2 linked regions of the Rhinolophus ferrumequinum genome follow. The protein of the gene in region 1 binds, or shares a complex with, the protein of each later gene. Links are inferred from orthologs where the notes say so. Each region holds a gene or a part of one and is shown on either strand. Other genes may lie near its edges.

What was found. Proteins that work in one complex are often made in the same cells at the same time.
Region 2: MED13 (region 1) and MED26 share a complex: the UniProt entries of both Homo sapiens proteins name them as parts of the mediator complex. The link is inferred for Rhinolophus ferrumequinum from reciprocal best matches to the Homo sapiens genes MED13 and MED26.

What each region holds. Positions count from the first base shown.
Region 1 is NC_046304.1:26,085,460-26,093,320, forward strand, and holds the start of MED13 (mediator of RNA polymerase II transcription subunit 13), read right to left. Parts: upstream 3,008-7,861; 5' UTR 2,883-3,007; coding exon 2,817-2,882; intron 1,059-2,816; coding exon 824-1,058; intron 1-823. UniProt on the Homo sapiens protein: Component of the Mediator complex, a coactivator involved in the regulated transcription of nearly all RNA polymerase II-dependent genes.
Region 2 is NC_046301.1:50,104,619-50,111,733, forward strand, and holds the start of MED26 (mediator of RNA polymerase II transcription subunit 26), read right to left. Parts: upstream 3,021-7,115; 5' UTR 2,764-3,020; coding exon 2,692-2,763; intron 1-2,691. UniProt on the Homo sapiens protein: Component of the Mediator complex, a coactivator involved in the regulated transcription of nearly all RNA polymerase II-dependent genes.

The sequences.
Region 1 (7,861 bases):
ACTGACTCTTACACCAAAATAAACACAAGCTTCAGTAATTTCATGAAGAGCTACAGTTTCTCTTTCTAAAATAACATTTGGGTGCTCACTTCGGCAGCACATATACTAAAATAACATTTGGTCCTAAATCAAAAAAATAAGATGGAAGAAATCTTATTGATTTGCTCATAATAAAATTATTTCTGTATAACTTTTTCGAGTATGCCCCCTAATGTCCTACAAAAGCTAAATAAGTTGGCGCTCTTCTCATATTAATGATAGTCTTCGTTGGAAGGTATCTAAAATAAAAGAATCACTTCCCAAGAATAACAAAATTAACATGTCTTCACATGATAATAAAATAACCACAAATAACAATAACAAAATAACCATATGCTTTGAAAAAACGTGGGAAAGTTACAACACATTTCTAGATACTGCTACAACTGCCAGCATATTCATATTCGTATATACAGGAGAGCAGTGGCAAAACTGACTCCAAGTTTAGTTAAACTGGCTTCAAAAGTATTACAACTTTGTTAGGAACTTTATGCTCCCTGATTCCATTTTTCTTAGGTTAATATAATGTCTTCCTTAGGCCTGTCTATGACAAATTCATGAGGAAGCTAGGTGATGAAAGAATCAAGTTACTGAAGATTGAAAAAGCCTGCCATAATATGGATAATTTAAGTAAAATAAAATAACCACAATGAAATAGACTATGAAGCTGAATTTGTATCTGGCTTCATACCTAAGTGTTCCACCAAAAAATCTTAATAAAGACAATTTTGGAGTAAAGGATACATTGCTATTCATTAGCTAGAAATGGTTAAGTTGCTTTCACCTGATAAGTCATGGTGAATAAGGTCAGCAAAATTAGGGTCTTCACCCCACCAAAATATCCATAATTCTCTTCTTCCAGGTCTTTGATCTCTCCGCCAAACACCAAGTACATCTGCCTTAAGGCAGCGACTAAAACTGCTCAAAATGGGGTCTTCCTCTGTCACCGGAAACAGAATAGGGGCAGAAGTTGGGCCTTGCCATACATATCTTTTCCATTTAATTCCCGTCAAGTCAGCCTGAAGAAAAGAAAGCATGATTTTTTTTTTTATTACTGCAAAGTCAAAAGTACTCACTATTAAAAGTCCCTTATTTCACAAGGATTAAAATTTTTCAAGATATACTTAAAATATTGAAAGCAGGTTGATCAAAAAAATGCTTAATAATTCTGAACAAAAACAGTGAAAAAATTAACAATGACAGATCACTGAATAGCAAGTCAATTAATGGGTGTTCCAAGGAGAAATAAAAGAAACGTAATAAAGTTAAATATAAATATGTACTTTAATACTGCACACTGAGTAAACATTTCCTATCTATCCTAAGTTCTGTTCTAACTGGTCACATTTGTCCTTAATGTCAAACTTGTAACAGAAAATTAATTTTTAAAGACTCATCATCATTCCATGTTTATAGAAGTCTGAACTATAACAAAAAATTCTTGTTACTTCTTCACATATCCCTTTTAGGAAAAGTCAAATAGCTGCTCACAAAGAACTGTCAGATATGTGCTAGTCTATCTTCAAAGAACCTGATCCTAAAAGCACCAAAAATAGACTGAGTTGGAGAAGATAGAAATGTAAAACCTGCTGTCTTATTACATCTGAAGAGATGCTGATTAATGGACACTGGACAAGAAAACATTTTATAGGGGAAAGGACATTAAAGATCTTAACTTAACATCCTGAAAGAAATTCAAGAGGGAATTCAGTAATTCTTTAACTTAAAGGTGCAAAGTATAGGTGCCAGAAATGAAACTGCTGATACATGACTGGCAGTTTACACTTGCCAACTAGTTCTGCTCCGCCCACTCAATTCCCTTATCGTATACTCTTAATATTTCTCAAAGCGCAGGGAAGATGAAAAAAGGAAGTCACTGAAACTTTAAATCATTGCTGAAGCTAAGCTACCGTCCAATTGAGGGCTAAGTATTTGCAACAACTGATACTGTTTTTAAAGTCTTAAACGGTTGGACGCTCCCAGACATGGGCCAACCTACACAATTGTCACCTTCCCCACACTTTTCAATAAAACCTGGAGCAGGCTGCCCAAAACATTCTAAACATGCAAGCAAAAGACAAAAATATTTACTGCAAAACCATAGAACCTTCTCTCTTAGTACGTTCAACTCTCACACAAACATAATGTTTTAATAAAAGCAAGATGGCTAGAAATTGTCAAAATGGCAAACTGTTTTCAAAGTTTAAAGAGAAAACGTATGAAATGGCATCTACTGGTTTTTACAGAGGTCTGTAGTCGCCCAAGGAAGAAACTAACATTCTGTTAGTTCGACTCATACAAAAAATGCAAAACGAAAAGAGATTTTTAGTACCTAAGTTCCGGGGTCCTGTTTATTGGGGGAAACAAATCACCAGAGTGAGGCATAAAAACAGTGGGAGAATGGGCAATAATGTAAAGTGTGAAGGGATACATGGTCAATGAGAAAAGCAACAGTTAAACAGAGGGAAATGTTAGTGTCCTGCCAGATAAGGAGCCCAAGCTGAAAACAAGACCACGGTGGTGAGGGGGAAAAAGTCAGAAACAAGAAAAAAAGCCAACTCTCCTAAAACAGAGCCCAGGACCGCGGGTGAACGAACGCGTCTCCCGAGGCGGGTGCGGAGCTCAGTCGCAGCGCCGGCTCCGGCTGGGCCTAGCCCGGGGACTCCAGCATCTGGATCAGACCTGGACCCCTCCCCCACGGCCCAAGGGCGCACCTCGCGGCCCCCTCCCCCACCGCCCTGCTCGCCGCGGTCCCCGCCCGCGGCCCCGGCACTCACCAGGCAGAAGAGGTTACAGTGACAATCTTCCAGGCTGGCCCCGTTCGGCACGAAGGAGGAACTCATCGTCCCTCACAGCAGCCGCCGCCGGCGCCACAACCCACCATCCGCCATTACCGCCGCCTCCGACCAGAGAGAGAAACACAGACACCGGGGAGGGCGGGGGGGTGCTGGTTGGGGGGACCGTGGAAGAGGAGGCCGCCGGGCCGCCCGCCCTCCCCACCCACCCCCCCGCCGCCGCGAGCAGCCCCCGCCGCCCGGCCGGCACCCAGCCGCCCGGAGCCGAGGGCCGGAGGCGGGCGGTCCGTGCCGCGCTCACCCCGCTGGCCGGACTGCGGCCGCCGCGGAGCCCGCGGACGCTCGTCCCTGTCTGGGGGACAGAGGGGATGTGTGCCCCTTCCACAAGAAAAATAATAAATTACACAATAAATAATTAAAGTCGAGTCCGAGAGGGCAGAGCCCAAGCCCTGGAGGGTTCTCCCGGGCGGGGAGGCGCCCGCAGAGGGGCGGGAAGGGCGAGAACCGGAGAGAAGCCCAGGCCCCCGGCCCGGCAGCGGCGATGTCCTTAAGCCCAGAGTCTCCTCAGTGGCGGAGGTGGTGGTGGTGTCTGCGGGCTCAAACCATTCTCTGGCTGTGTCTTCGTGTAGTCCCTGGGCCAAGCCGGCCTAACGTCTCCTCTCCTACGGCCTCACAGCCCGGACGCCGTAGTCTCCCCCATTTTGTGGGCCCAGCGGGCTGTGTTTTTCCCCCTTTAATCCGAATTCACGGGTTTTCCCTTCGCTTTAATGGCGGCCACAGGGACCAGCTCGCCCTCTCTGCTCGCCCATTGGCCGCCTTGAGGTCACGTGGGCCCGGGCTCCGTGGGGAGGAGGAGAGAGAAGGGAGCGAGGGAGGGCCGGGAAGCTTTCGGCGAAGGCGGTGAGCCCGGGGGACTGGGCAGCCAGGTGGTGGCTACTAAGATAGCGCCATCTGCTGGGTACCCCGGCCAGTGTAGGATGACCCAGGGCCCTGGCCCTGTCTTTCTACTTGCTCGGAATTGACAGTGCAAGAGCTTTACATCACAACTCGGAGAATTACGTGGAAAGCAGTTTGAATTCTTTGGAAGAGAAAGTGTTGAAAAAATTCCAAGGTTTTCTCATGTATTTCACGAGGCCGCGGGGGTGCAGCGCAAACTCCTGGGCATGGGAGTCAGACGATCTGAGATAAGACTCAGCCACTTGAAAGTTGTGATATTAAGAAAGAAACAAACGAAACAATATAGCCTGGTGTTAGAGACACACCGCTTGGGTTCGAACCTTCAAGGAGTCACTTACCGATTTATGTCTCACTTTCCTCATCTGTGAAATGAGGAAAGCATACATACCCCCTACCTCACAGGATTGTTGTGATAATTGAGTTAAGACAAATACAGCATGGTAGCCCAGTACCCGGCACAGATAAGCATTGTTAAGAGTTATCTATTATTGTTGTCATCGTTACCTCATGTGGTTATTGTGAGGACTAAGTGAACCAGCGTTATTTAAAGTGCCCACTAGAGTGTAATCTCCGTGAGAACTGGGACTTTGTTTTGTTTACCGCTCTATCTCTAGTGTCTACAAAAGGTTCCTAGCACACAGTAGGTGCCTTATATTCGTAAATTTGCAAGTGAATGAATGGCAAGAAGTAGAACCAAGTAAGATGTTAGTTTCCGTCCCCATAAAACACTCAGTTCTTGCCTGAATTGCATTTCAATGTAGGAGTTCAAACATTTTTTCCTGAGAGTTTTAGGGAGGAAAGAAAGAAAGAAAAAGCAAGGGAGGGGGTGAGGGGGAGGAGGGAGGAAGGAAGGAAGGAAGGGAGGGAGGAAAGGAGAGAGGGAGGGAGAAAGGGAGGAAGGAGGGAGGGAGAAGTAAAGGTGATTCAAAAGTTAAAAACATCAGTGATTCAGGACTTATCATAATTTTAAATCATAACTGCCTCTATAAAATAAATGGTGGACTCTTCCACGTGACTTCTTCAGCCACAGAATGAAGCGCATTTCTCATCCATCCATTCATTTGTCTACGGTGGTTAAGAGCACAGATCTTGAAGCCAAGTGCCTGTAGAAAAAGTTGTGCTACTTACTACTAGTTGATCTTGGATCAAATTTGACTTTAGATCAAATTAATTACTCTCTCAGTTTTCTCATTGTAAAATGGGCATAATAAAAATACTTTTCTCCTAAAGTGTCTCATGAAAGAAACAGTGTAGGTATAGCTTGCCACAGTGCTTACTAAATGTTAGCCATTAACATACTTTTTAAAATCATTATTGAGCACTTGTGTGCATAACTGAGTGTGTTGCTAGGCCTGGGATACAAATACGAATAAGATAACTGCCTGTCCCTCAAGAGTCCTGAAGAGAGGCAATAAAGGAACTATTTCCCACAGAAAAAGATAAAATACAATGGAGGTAATTGCTTGAATAAGGTATGTATCAACTATGGCACAATAGGAGCGCTGGAGGAGGAGCACCAAAGTCAGAGAAGGCATCTTGAAGTAGGCAGCATTTGAAATCAGATTTAAAGGATAAAATGAATTCTTATAAAGCCCTTTGAAGCAGTTAAATCTTATTAAACCCATTTCAGATCTAAAGGCCACATATCAAAGTCAATTATACAACCAGGACTAATTCAATCCAGGAGCTCAAATCAACTAAGGTCCACATCCTTTCTAACTGAGTGCCAGCACCAGGAGGCAGCAATCCCCAGACCCAATAAGGTAAGAGCCTCTGCTCATCTCTTTTCCTGAGAGAATACTCAGACCTTTGTTCCCACTGCTTTAGTCACTCTTCAGTGTCCTACCCCACCTCTTATTTTATCCAAAACATAGCCATCCTCTTTAGAAGTCTTGCCCTCCCATCACCCAATTTGAGCATCTCCCTCCGGACTCCAGAGGCAGGTACAATCTGCCTGAAACCTACTACGTGCACAGGAACATTTGACTGACCTTTCACGTGAATGTCAATCTTCTCAGAAAAAGCGGGGCGACAGGAGAAAAGAGACAAGAAGGGAGGAAGATCCAGAGGAATAAGTCTGAGAGAGGGTCATGGAAAGGAGCAGAATAGAGAGAGAGGGAGAAAGAGAGAGAGAGGTGAAAAAGCAGGAGAGGTTGAGAGAGAAAATGGAGAAGCAAAGTGGAGGAGAGGGACCAACTGTGAGGGGAATGGAAACATCATGGGGACAAGAGAAGAGAGCAGTATCAGCACATAGAAAAACCACCTTATGTCAGTAACCACCTACATTCTCTTTAAATGATATTTTGTGTGATTTAAAGAGTAATGGAAATAAAAACAGTATATGCACATTGTCAAAAATTCGGAACATACAGAAAAGTGTAAAGATAAAAAATAAAAATGCATATTACCCTCTAAAAATGCCTATAACATCACCATTCATAATTAAACATCTTTTAACATTTTGATATATTTCCTGCCAGCCCTGTGTGTGTGTGCGTGTGTGTGTGTGTGTGTATTTTCTACATGGTTGAAGTTGTATTACATATACATTTTACTATACACTTACTGACCATCTAGTATGTGTCAGATCATGAATGGACAAAGCACAGGATATACAAGGAGCTTATAATCTTGCTAGATATGGCACTGGGATCAAAACGCCAGGCCACGCCTGCCAGCTCTCTAACTTCCATTTACTCCTTTGTAAAATGTGTATGTAACAGCACCTAAATGTTAGAGCTGTAACAATTAAAAGAGATAATTCAAGTAAAGTAGAAGAGCCAATTGGGAATGTTAAAGTGAATCTTAGGTGTTGCCTGGTCAATAATCACCTATTGTCTTCGATTCTTTGAAATATGGATTTGTTCACTGATCTACATTTAAAATTGTTCTTTAACTCTTTCAGCCTTTTAAGGGCTCCATTCTGAATGGGATAGTGGAGGCATCTAGCTTCCAAAAAGGGTGGCAGAGTTACATCATCTGAGACAGAGAAAGTCCAGGAACGGGCAATGTCTGATCTTAGGTCTAATGCTTCCCACCTGATCCTGAAAAATCCCAGGGTCTAGAGTAGCACAGTCCAGTAGAAATATAATGAGAGCAAAACAAGTAAGTAAAGATTTTTCAGTAGCTACATTTTAAAAACATAAAAAGAAATAGGCTAAAATTAAATTTAACTATATATTTATCTCAATGTAACAGAAACATTATCATCTCATCTGTAGTCAATATAAAAAATTCAGACAGTTTGCTTTTCTTTTTTTAACCAAACCTTTAAAATTTGTGTGTATTTTCACTTATAGAACATTTCAGTTCAGACTAGCTACATTTCAAGTAACCACGAGCCACATGTGGCCAGTGGCAACTGTATTGGCTAATACAAGTCTAGAGGCAAAAGCTGAAAGCTAAGGACCAATTAAGCTGTGGAGTGAGGGGTCTTGAGCCTGGGGACAATATTGATTTTCTTAAGGTCATGTTAATGGTTTGATGTTCTACTTAATAAAAAATAAATAAAAAAGGCTGAGGAGTTACAAACCATTTTATTTAGTGAATGCACAGACACTACTTTGTTGAATATAGAAGTAAACAAAGTAAATTAGCAAGTTGAGAAAGCTAAGAAAACATTTCAGTCTAAGCATCAAACATCCTGGATTGACTTGTAAGTTGCCCTGACTTGCCATTTTTCTTGGTAGTATAGAAACTATTCTCAACCTCAAGTTTATTTCTCGATAAATATTTTATTTTAATATTAAATCTGAAGTCAATTCCCCCCAATTTCCTCACTTTGAAATTTGGTTTGTAAACCTTAAGCAAATCAGATCTCCCCTCTCCCTAATTTTATTCTACTTGAGCTGGTCATTTGACTCCTCTGGATCTGTTTTCTCAAGCATAATGAAAATATTGGCTTAAGTAATTGCTATGATTTAATACCTAATATGTAACACTAAATATGTCAGACATTGTGCTAAGTATCTTGCATTAATTATCATCCTTGTCACAAGCTTCTGAGGTATGTACTATATTATCCCAATTTTCTAGATTGGGATGCTGAGATTTAGAAAGCTACTTGCTTA
Region 2 (7,115 bases), on another chromosome or scaffold:
CCTGCTGAGAAGACTGTGCTGAAGTGGTGTGACTGATTTCTGGGCAGGAGAAGACACTGCCCTCAACTTTATCCACAACCAAGCAAGATCAAGCTGGAACAAATGCGCACACTGCACTTCAGATTTTCAACACTCTGGGCTGACATACCATGAAAGAGTAAGATTTCAATTATTCTGAAAAACTGTTAGTTGCTTTCTGAAAAGGAGTGTAAAGGATTTACTTCAGTACTGAGTTGGCAGAAATTAACTCAGAACCTGCTGCTACAGAAATTCAAATACTCCAGAGGCTAGAATTTAGAGCAAAAAAACAACTTTCCTCTTAAGAACTCTTTTGTCAAGGAGATGCTCAGTAAATGTTACTTTGTTACTTCCCTAACTTTTCAGATACTTGTGGATATTAGGTCAGCGGCTTGACATTAATTTTTCAAGCAAAAGCTGTTTGTTAACCATAATTGCATGTCCATAAAGGTAAGCATTACATGACACAATTCTCTGTATTTTCTCTCAGAAGAGGTTTAATTTTAGTGTTGGCTCTTCAACTCTGTCCCCATTTTTTTCATGAGCATCTTAAATATGTGTCAACCAACTATCCAGAAGTGTTCATAATTGGGCAAAGCAGAGAAGAGCGCCCGTGCGGCAGCAATGCCCTGTTGGAGCGCCCTCACTCTCACCTGGGCCCAGGTCAATCGTAAGAAACTGCAGCCCTGTGGTTGCACCTTCTCCATCAGCAAACTATTCTGCCACATCTCTAAGTTTCTATACACGGTTTGAACCAAGCCGCACTCCTGTCAAATGACTAGTAACAATGCTCACAGACACTAACAATGGCAGCATTTAAAGGAGGCACTTTCTTCATCGCTCATATTCAAAGAGACAATTTCCCAATTCTATCAACTTATTTTAGTAGGGCTCTAGCACACCTATCGCTAGAGTTGCCCAAAGTAAGCCACATGAAACATGAATTCCATGCTACGTAATACAGCCATGGGCTCAGATGAGAGTAATGTTTCTGCACACACCAGGATACACGAAGCTGAGATTTGTTCCCTCCTCCTACTTCTAGGAACCCTCTAGATTAGAGCCTTGCACAACACTAGAATCCCTGAGGTCACTGCCCACCTAATCTGTAACATCGTGACCACCTGTCAAAGCACCTTCTGATGTCAAAGCGCCTTCTGATCCCAAAGCTCTCCTAGGTGGCATTAAGAATCAGTGCTAATAGGTCAGCCACTCTCAGATACTCCAGAAGGCAAGCAAGCACATGGAATTCAAGAATTGCACTCTGACTCGACAAAAGATGCAAAAGTTACCAAAGCTGTATTTTTCATGTCACTTGCTTTATCCTCTAATATTTCAGTGTTGGGAATTGCAGCGGCACCAGTTACTGCAAAAATTCTGGGAGGTTTTATATAGCTTGTGCCTACTCCACCCCCAAAGTCCTAACAAAAATGTATACACTTGTTAAAGGCAATTTCCACCAAGCCAATCTTAATGGGGCCCGAAGACCAGGAATAAGAGAATTACTTATGATAGAGAAATCAGAGCCTTACAATTATCATAACCCCTCCAAAATTACCCAAGACAATTTTTTCTTCCATCTGCAGTATGTTAAAGTGATTTCAGTGGCCACTTCCTGGTCTCCCAGCAAATGCAGGGCTCACTTCATACCTGGATGTCATCCTCCTCCTGCTTAACCTGCTCCTGCCACAGGGGAAAATGACCCCTATCATCAACAACCCCTTGGAGAATATATGAGAACACAATGAGGCTTCCCCTACACACACGGAGGGGGGACAGGGGAGATCCCTCTGCAAACATGGAGGGTCATCTGACAAAGCGACACCCTGGGGTTAACCCTGTCATCTAGGTCAAAAACCACCTGGCTAGAACCTCCAGATAGGGGGAAGGGACAGCCGAAATAGGGTTCTTGGGTGAACCGGAGAGAAAACAATCACCTTTAATTCCCTACCCAAAAGTGGGGCTCTGGCTTGGTCAGAGACGCAATGGGCAGTTAGGCCCAGAAAAGCAGCATGAAGGATCCCACCCTCCTCCCCAAGATCATCTTCCGTTGGCAGCGACTCGAAGAGGGATCCAGCAAAGACATGTCCATTCGCAGAACCGAAGAGACCTCTCCACGCGCCCTGGGCACCCGGCTAGGGGCAAAGCAGGCCGGGGGTTTCCCTCCGAAGCCAAGGTGCTTCCAGCAGGGAGAAGAAGGAAGGAGGACTTCCCTGATCACCCAGAAGGCCGAGATACTGGAGGCACGGGCTCCCGGAGTCATACTCCAGCCACCAGTTGCTCCACAGTCTTTCTCCCTCCCCTCCCCCAAGTCGAGAGGGCTTCCCGGGGGGTCTCTGGTCTCCGGAGAAGGGGAGGCAGGTAAGCTCCGACAGGAGCAACAAGGGTCGTAGAACTCAAGCAGGAGGGAAGGAACAGCTCTGGCCTCAGCTCCCGTCTGTATCCTCCACCCAGGCCGCACGTAAGCCTCGGCCTCACGTACCGAGCGCCGCCGGGCTGCCCGACCTGCCCCGGGCCCAGGCCCGGGGGACGAGAGGCCGGGATGGCAGCGGCCCTCGGGGGAAGGTGGGCCTCGGGCGGGTACCCGGGAACCCCGAGGGTGAGGGGCACTGGGGAGGAGGAGGGTCCCGGGCCCACGAGGCCTCGGTCCTGGCCCGCGCGGCGGGTACTTACGTTGCTCTGGGGGTCGATGGCCTGCAGCAGCCGGTCCCTGATCTGCTGCGGAGACGCCGGAGCCGCTGTCATTGCCTGGGCGAGGCGGGGGGGAGCGGCCGGGCCAGCGGGCGGGCGGGCTGAGGCGGGGGACGGGGGTCACTCACTCGCCGGCCTCCGGGAACGGAGCTTCATGTTCCCCGCGGCGCCGGGGGAGGAGGGGGCGCGCGGGGTGGCGGAGAGGGGAGCCGGAGCCGGGGCTCGGGCCCGGGGCGCCGCCGCCACCGCAGGAGGAGGAGCCGCCGGAGCCGCCGCCGCTGCTGCCGCCGCCTCGAGAACCAAACTCCAGTGAGCTGCTCCTGCGCGGAGCACTCTGGGTAACCCGCGCCGCACGCAGCGTCGGCGCCACGCTGAGGAGGTTGGGAGATGGGGCGGGCGGAGACGCCGGGCTTGGGCGGGGCCACGCCTGGGTCACACCCCTCGCCTTTTACGCATGCGCGCACAGGCGCACTCGCCCACCGCGCAGTCCCAGTCCCCTGCTCGGCCCGGGGAGCCGTTGGGAAACGGTTGGGCGGGGCAACGGTCGCCGCCTGGAGCCCCGCCCCCACCCGGGCTGGGGATGCTGAGGTTCCCGACCCAAACGCGAGATGCGCGCGGAGTCCTTGAACTCGGCGCTGCGGGTGCCGCCTCAGCTGTGCAGGGCGGGGAGGGCGGCGGCAGCACCCCTCTTCGGGAAGAAAAGCCTTCCTTGCACTGACAGAGGTGATAGGGGTCGCGGGCGGGAGAAGCTGCCAAGTTTTCCAAGCCTGGGGGGGATCCTTCCCACCCCCTCGATCTGCGTTCCTGGGGGCGAGGGAGATGGATGTCCACGTTGTGATGCTGCGCGCGTCTGGGTCTGACCGAGGGATGTCAAGGGACGTTCCAGCTCTGGTTCACTCCAGAGGGCGGGGGTCTGCAGCGCCTCGCTGGCCCGGGTCCCGAAAACATGAGACGGAGAAGCACCTCTCCGAAGAGCCGCCATCCCAGCTGGGAATGCCCCCAAACCAGCCCCGTGAGCCGACCCCATGGTTGCAGACCTGTGCCCCGGTGACATTTGGGGCCGGATCACTGTTGTAGGGCCGTCCTGGTAGGATGTTGAGTAGCATCCCTGGCGTCTACCCACTAAATGCCAGTAGCACCTTCTCCTCCAGTGGCGACAACCAAAAATGTCTCCAGTCATTGTCTGATGTCCCCTGGCAGGCAGAATCGCCCCCTATTGACATCCACTGGTTTAAAAGACCCTTCTACCTTGCTTGGCGTGGAGAGGCTGGAAAATTGAAACCCTCATTCTCTGAACCAAACATTTCTCAAAGGAGAAAACTGCAGCCCAAAGTCACCCAGAGTTACAGGTTAAACCCAGAACTTCTAATGTCAATTCTAAGGGTACCCCCCACCCTCTGCCCCACCCCCTTACTGCCTTCTTTCATTGCTGTCTTCTCTCTCTGGAAGCTCTATTAGAAATACTGTTATGAGACAAGGGGTGGAAAGGCAGGCTGAGTGGATTATTAGTGGCAGCCTCAGGAGAAATAACTTTTCCTTGTTACAGGAAGACCTAGATTTAAAACAGAAGAGAGGCAGCTGATGAGAACCGCATGTGCGCCTTGGATCTGTCCTACACCTGTTAGTCTTGCATTTGTCATGCTTCTGCGAAGCATTTTTATTTGCAAAAACGGCTGTTTCCGTGGTTGTGGCTGCTTGCTTCTGCACATGTGAAAAGTTTCACATCACACTTGTAGAAGAAAATAAACACAGGCAAAATACTCCGTTCAGTTACTCTCTTTAGCATGAGGTGCTTTGTGTACATGCTCCAAGTTGGAAATCTGCCCACTTAGAGATATTCTTTCTCACTTCAGATAAGCAAAATAAACAAGCTTCTCCCCCAAGTATAATCCGGTCCTGCCTCTCTCTTAAATTTCTAACTAGATGTACAATGTCTTATTTTTTTAAATCAGGGAATAAGCCATTTGTTTTGCATGGGTCAGGTTACTTAAGAAAACTCTGGAAAGCACTCAACTTACCTGCTTTTTTTAAACTAAGAAGAAACATTAAGATGACTATGAGCTCCACAGGGGCACCGACTCAACTCCGTGTCCCCAGTAGATAGAAAAGTGCTTATTAAATATTTGTGAAGTAAGTGAATGTCTCATCAGATACACAGCAGTTGAATACACATACCCAAACATACTTATGCGGTTCAGTTCCACAGACCTGGCACACAGTGGGGGCTCAATAAATAATGGAAAAAGTATTTTATTAAATACTTTCTACAACATGAGGATGCACATGGACACAGAGTTTCATTCCATATTTAGCATACAGCATGTCCTCGAATAATGTAACAAAACGACGTTTTCGTTATAATGGTGAGATGCCATAGGAACTTAACTCGTTTTTTATCAATTAGCCTATGTTAAAACTGGTCTCATATGTCATTTTACTTAAAGTACAGAACTTATTGACAGTATTGAGGACTTACTGTATATACAAAGTATGCTTGTCATGGTAAAGAAAGATCGCCACGGAACAGTTTTGAAAGTTAGCAGCTTCTCTTACGTCCATGGTAGATACTGAATTTCACTAGCTGACTTTCTGCTTTCAAGATACTTGAAATGTTATGCAAAGATGGGGCTCAAGGTAAATCCTCGTGCTGTAATCGTTCTTCCCCATGATATGTCCCTTAACTTAGATACAGAGACCATTGGTTCCACCAATCTGAGAGGACAAGATCTTTTGTGCTTGAAATGTCCTTGGGAAAGCGGCCTCATCTCTTAGTGAGGCAGCCCCCAAAGGTTAGGGCGAGGAAGTGGCTCTGAGTCCATGGCTTGCTCTTGCCATGGAAGTGGGAGGGAATGTAGTTTCAGGACCTGAGTGCACAGCATGCCCAGGCAGTCTTGGCAGTGAGAGAGTGGAGTCCTCCTCCGTTGGCAGACTAGTAAGGGCATCCCAGAAGGAAGTCAAGAGCTGGAGGGCTCCCACGACTGCACAAGACAAGTGTTCAACAGCGACACCATGTGACAGCAAGGAGCAACAGCAGCAACGCCCTAGGCAGACTCACTGCTAAAGGGAAAAGCCGCTGTACCCTTGCGTCACAAACCCCTGGGAGGTGGGCAATTTAAAGGAGAGGAAATTACTGGACTTATCCCAATGATGTATGTAAGCGTTCCAGTGATTGATAAGAAAAACAAACATGAGCAAATCCACCACCTCACTTTGACCCATATGTTTGCTCTGAGTTTAACAGTCTGGTGGAAATTTTTAAAAACCACTTTCTCCTATTAACTCATTCAGCCATATCACTGATCTCAGAAGTACCTAGAGAGAGGTCTCAGGGTTCTGCTTGGCTTTGCAGCAAGTCCTGTTTACTTTAGAAGTGAAACCAATTTCAACAGTTTTGAAAAGCCCCTGAAATGTCACTGCTTTTAGGAAGACTTTCAAAGATAGACGGGACAATTTTTATCGTGCTTTCAAGTGGGATATAAACATGAATAAAGCCTGCTCCTGAGGATCTAGTTTTGAAGCCAAGCACTGGAATCAAGTCGGGGTCCCATTAATCCAATATTTTAATTGTACTGTCCGAGCGAAGTGCAGCAGGAGCCCTAAGGTGGGGAAAGCCCTTCTGGATAGGTGGACCAGGAAAAATGTTTGACAAGAAGGCAGCACTTCAACTGAGAGTGTTCCAATACACTCATACCCTCTGACCCGATCGATGTCTCACAACTTCTAGAAATTTTTCCAAAGGAACCACCAATCAGATGCAGATAAATGTGTACGTATGTACAAGGGAGGTCACAGCATCATTTATAAGAGCAAAAGAGTGGAAGCAACTGAAGTATCCAGTAATAGGGGAGTACATGAATAAACGGGGGGGTCAATTCATGAAAATGGGAAGGTTATGGACTGGGAGAGACCAAAGGAATCGATAACTCCGATGGGGGTAGCGGTCTTATGGGTGGATGCACATGAAGAAATTTACCAAGCTGTATATTACTGTACATTACACTTTGAAAATAAAGATATATAGCTAGATAACAGATAGCTAGATAGATAATAAAGCCGTTAAAAACCAGTACTGAAAAGATGGAAAAATGCTCTCAACTTAATACTAAGTGATAAAATGCAACATATATATACATTATGATCTTACTTTTATTAATATATGTATACGTATGTACATGATGCATAGAAAAACTACTGGAAGGAAAGAAACCAAAATATCTACAGTAGTTGTCTCTGACAGGTAGAACAGGTGATGATTCTTCTGATACTTTTGCCTGCAGTTCCACACTGTTTAGAATGAACATGTGGTGCCTTCTGGTCATCTCATCCAGTGCCGGGTTCTCCTGACCTCTAGTAACCTAAGGTTCTCATCTTCTGACTCAGGTAACGCTAATCTCAAGTGTGCCCAT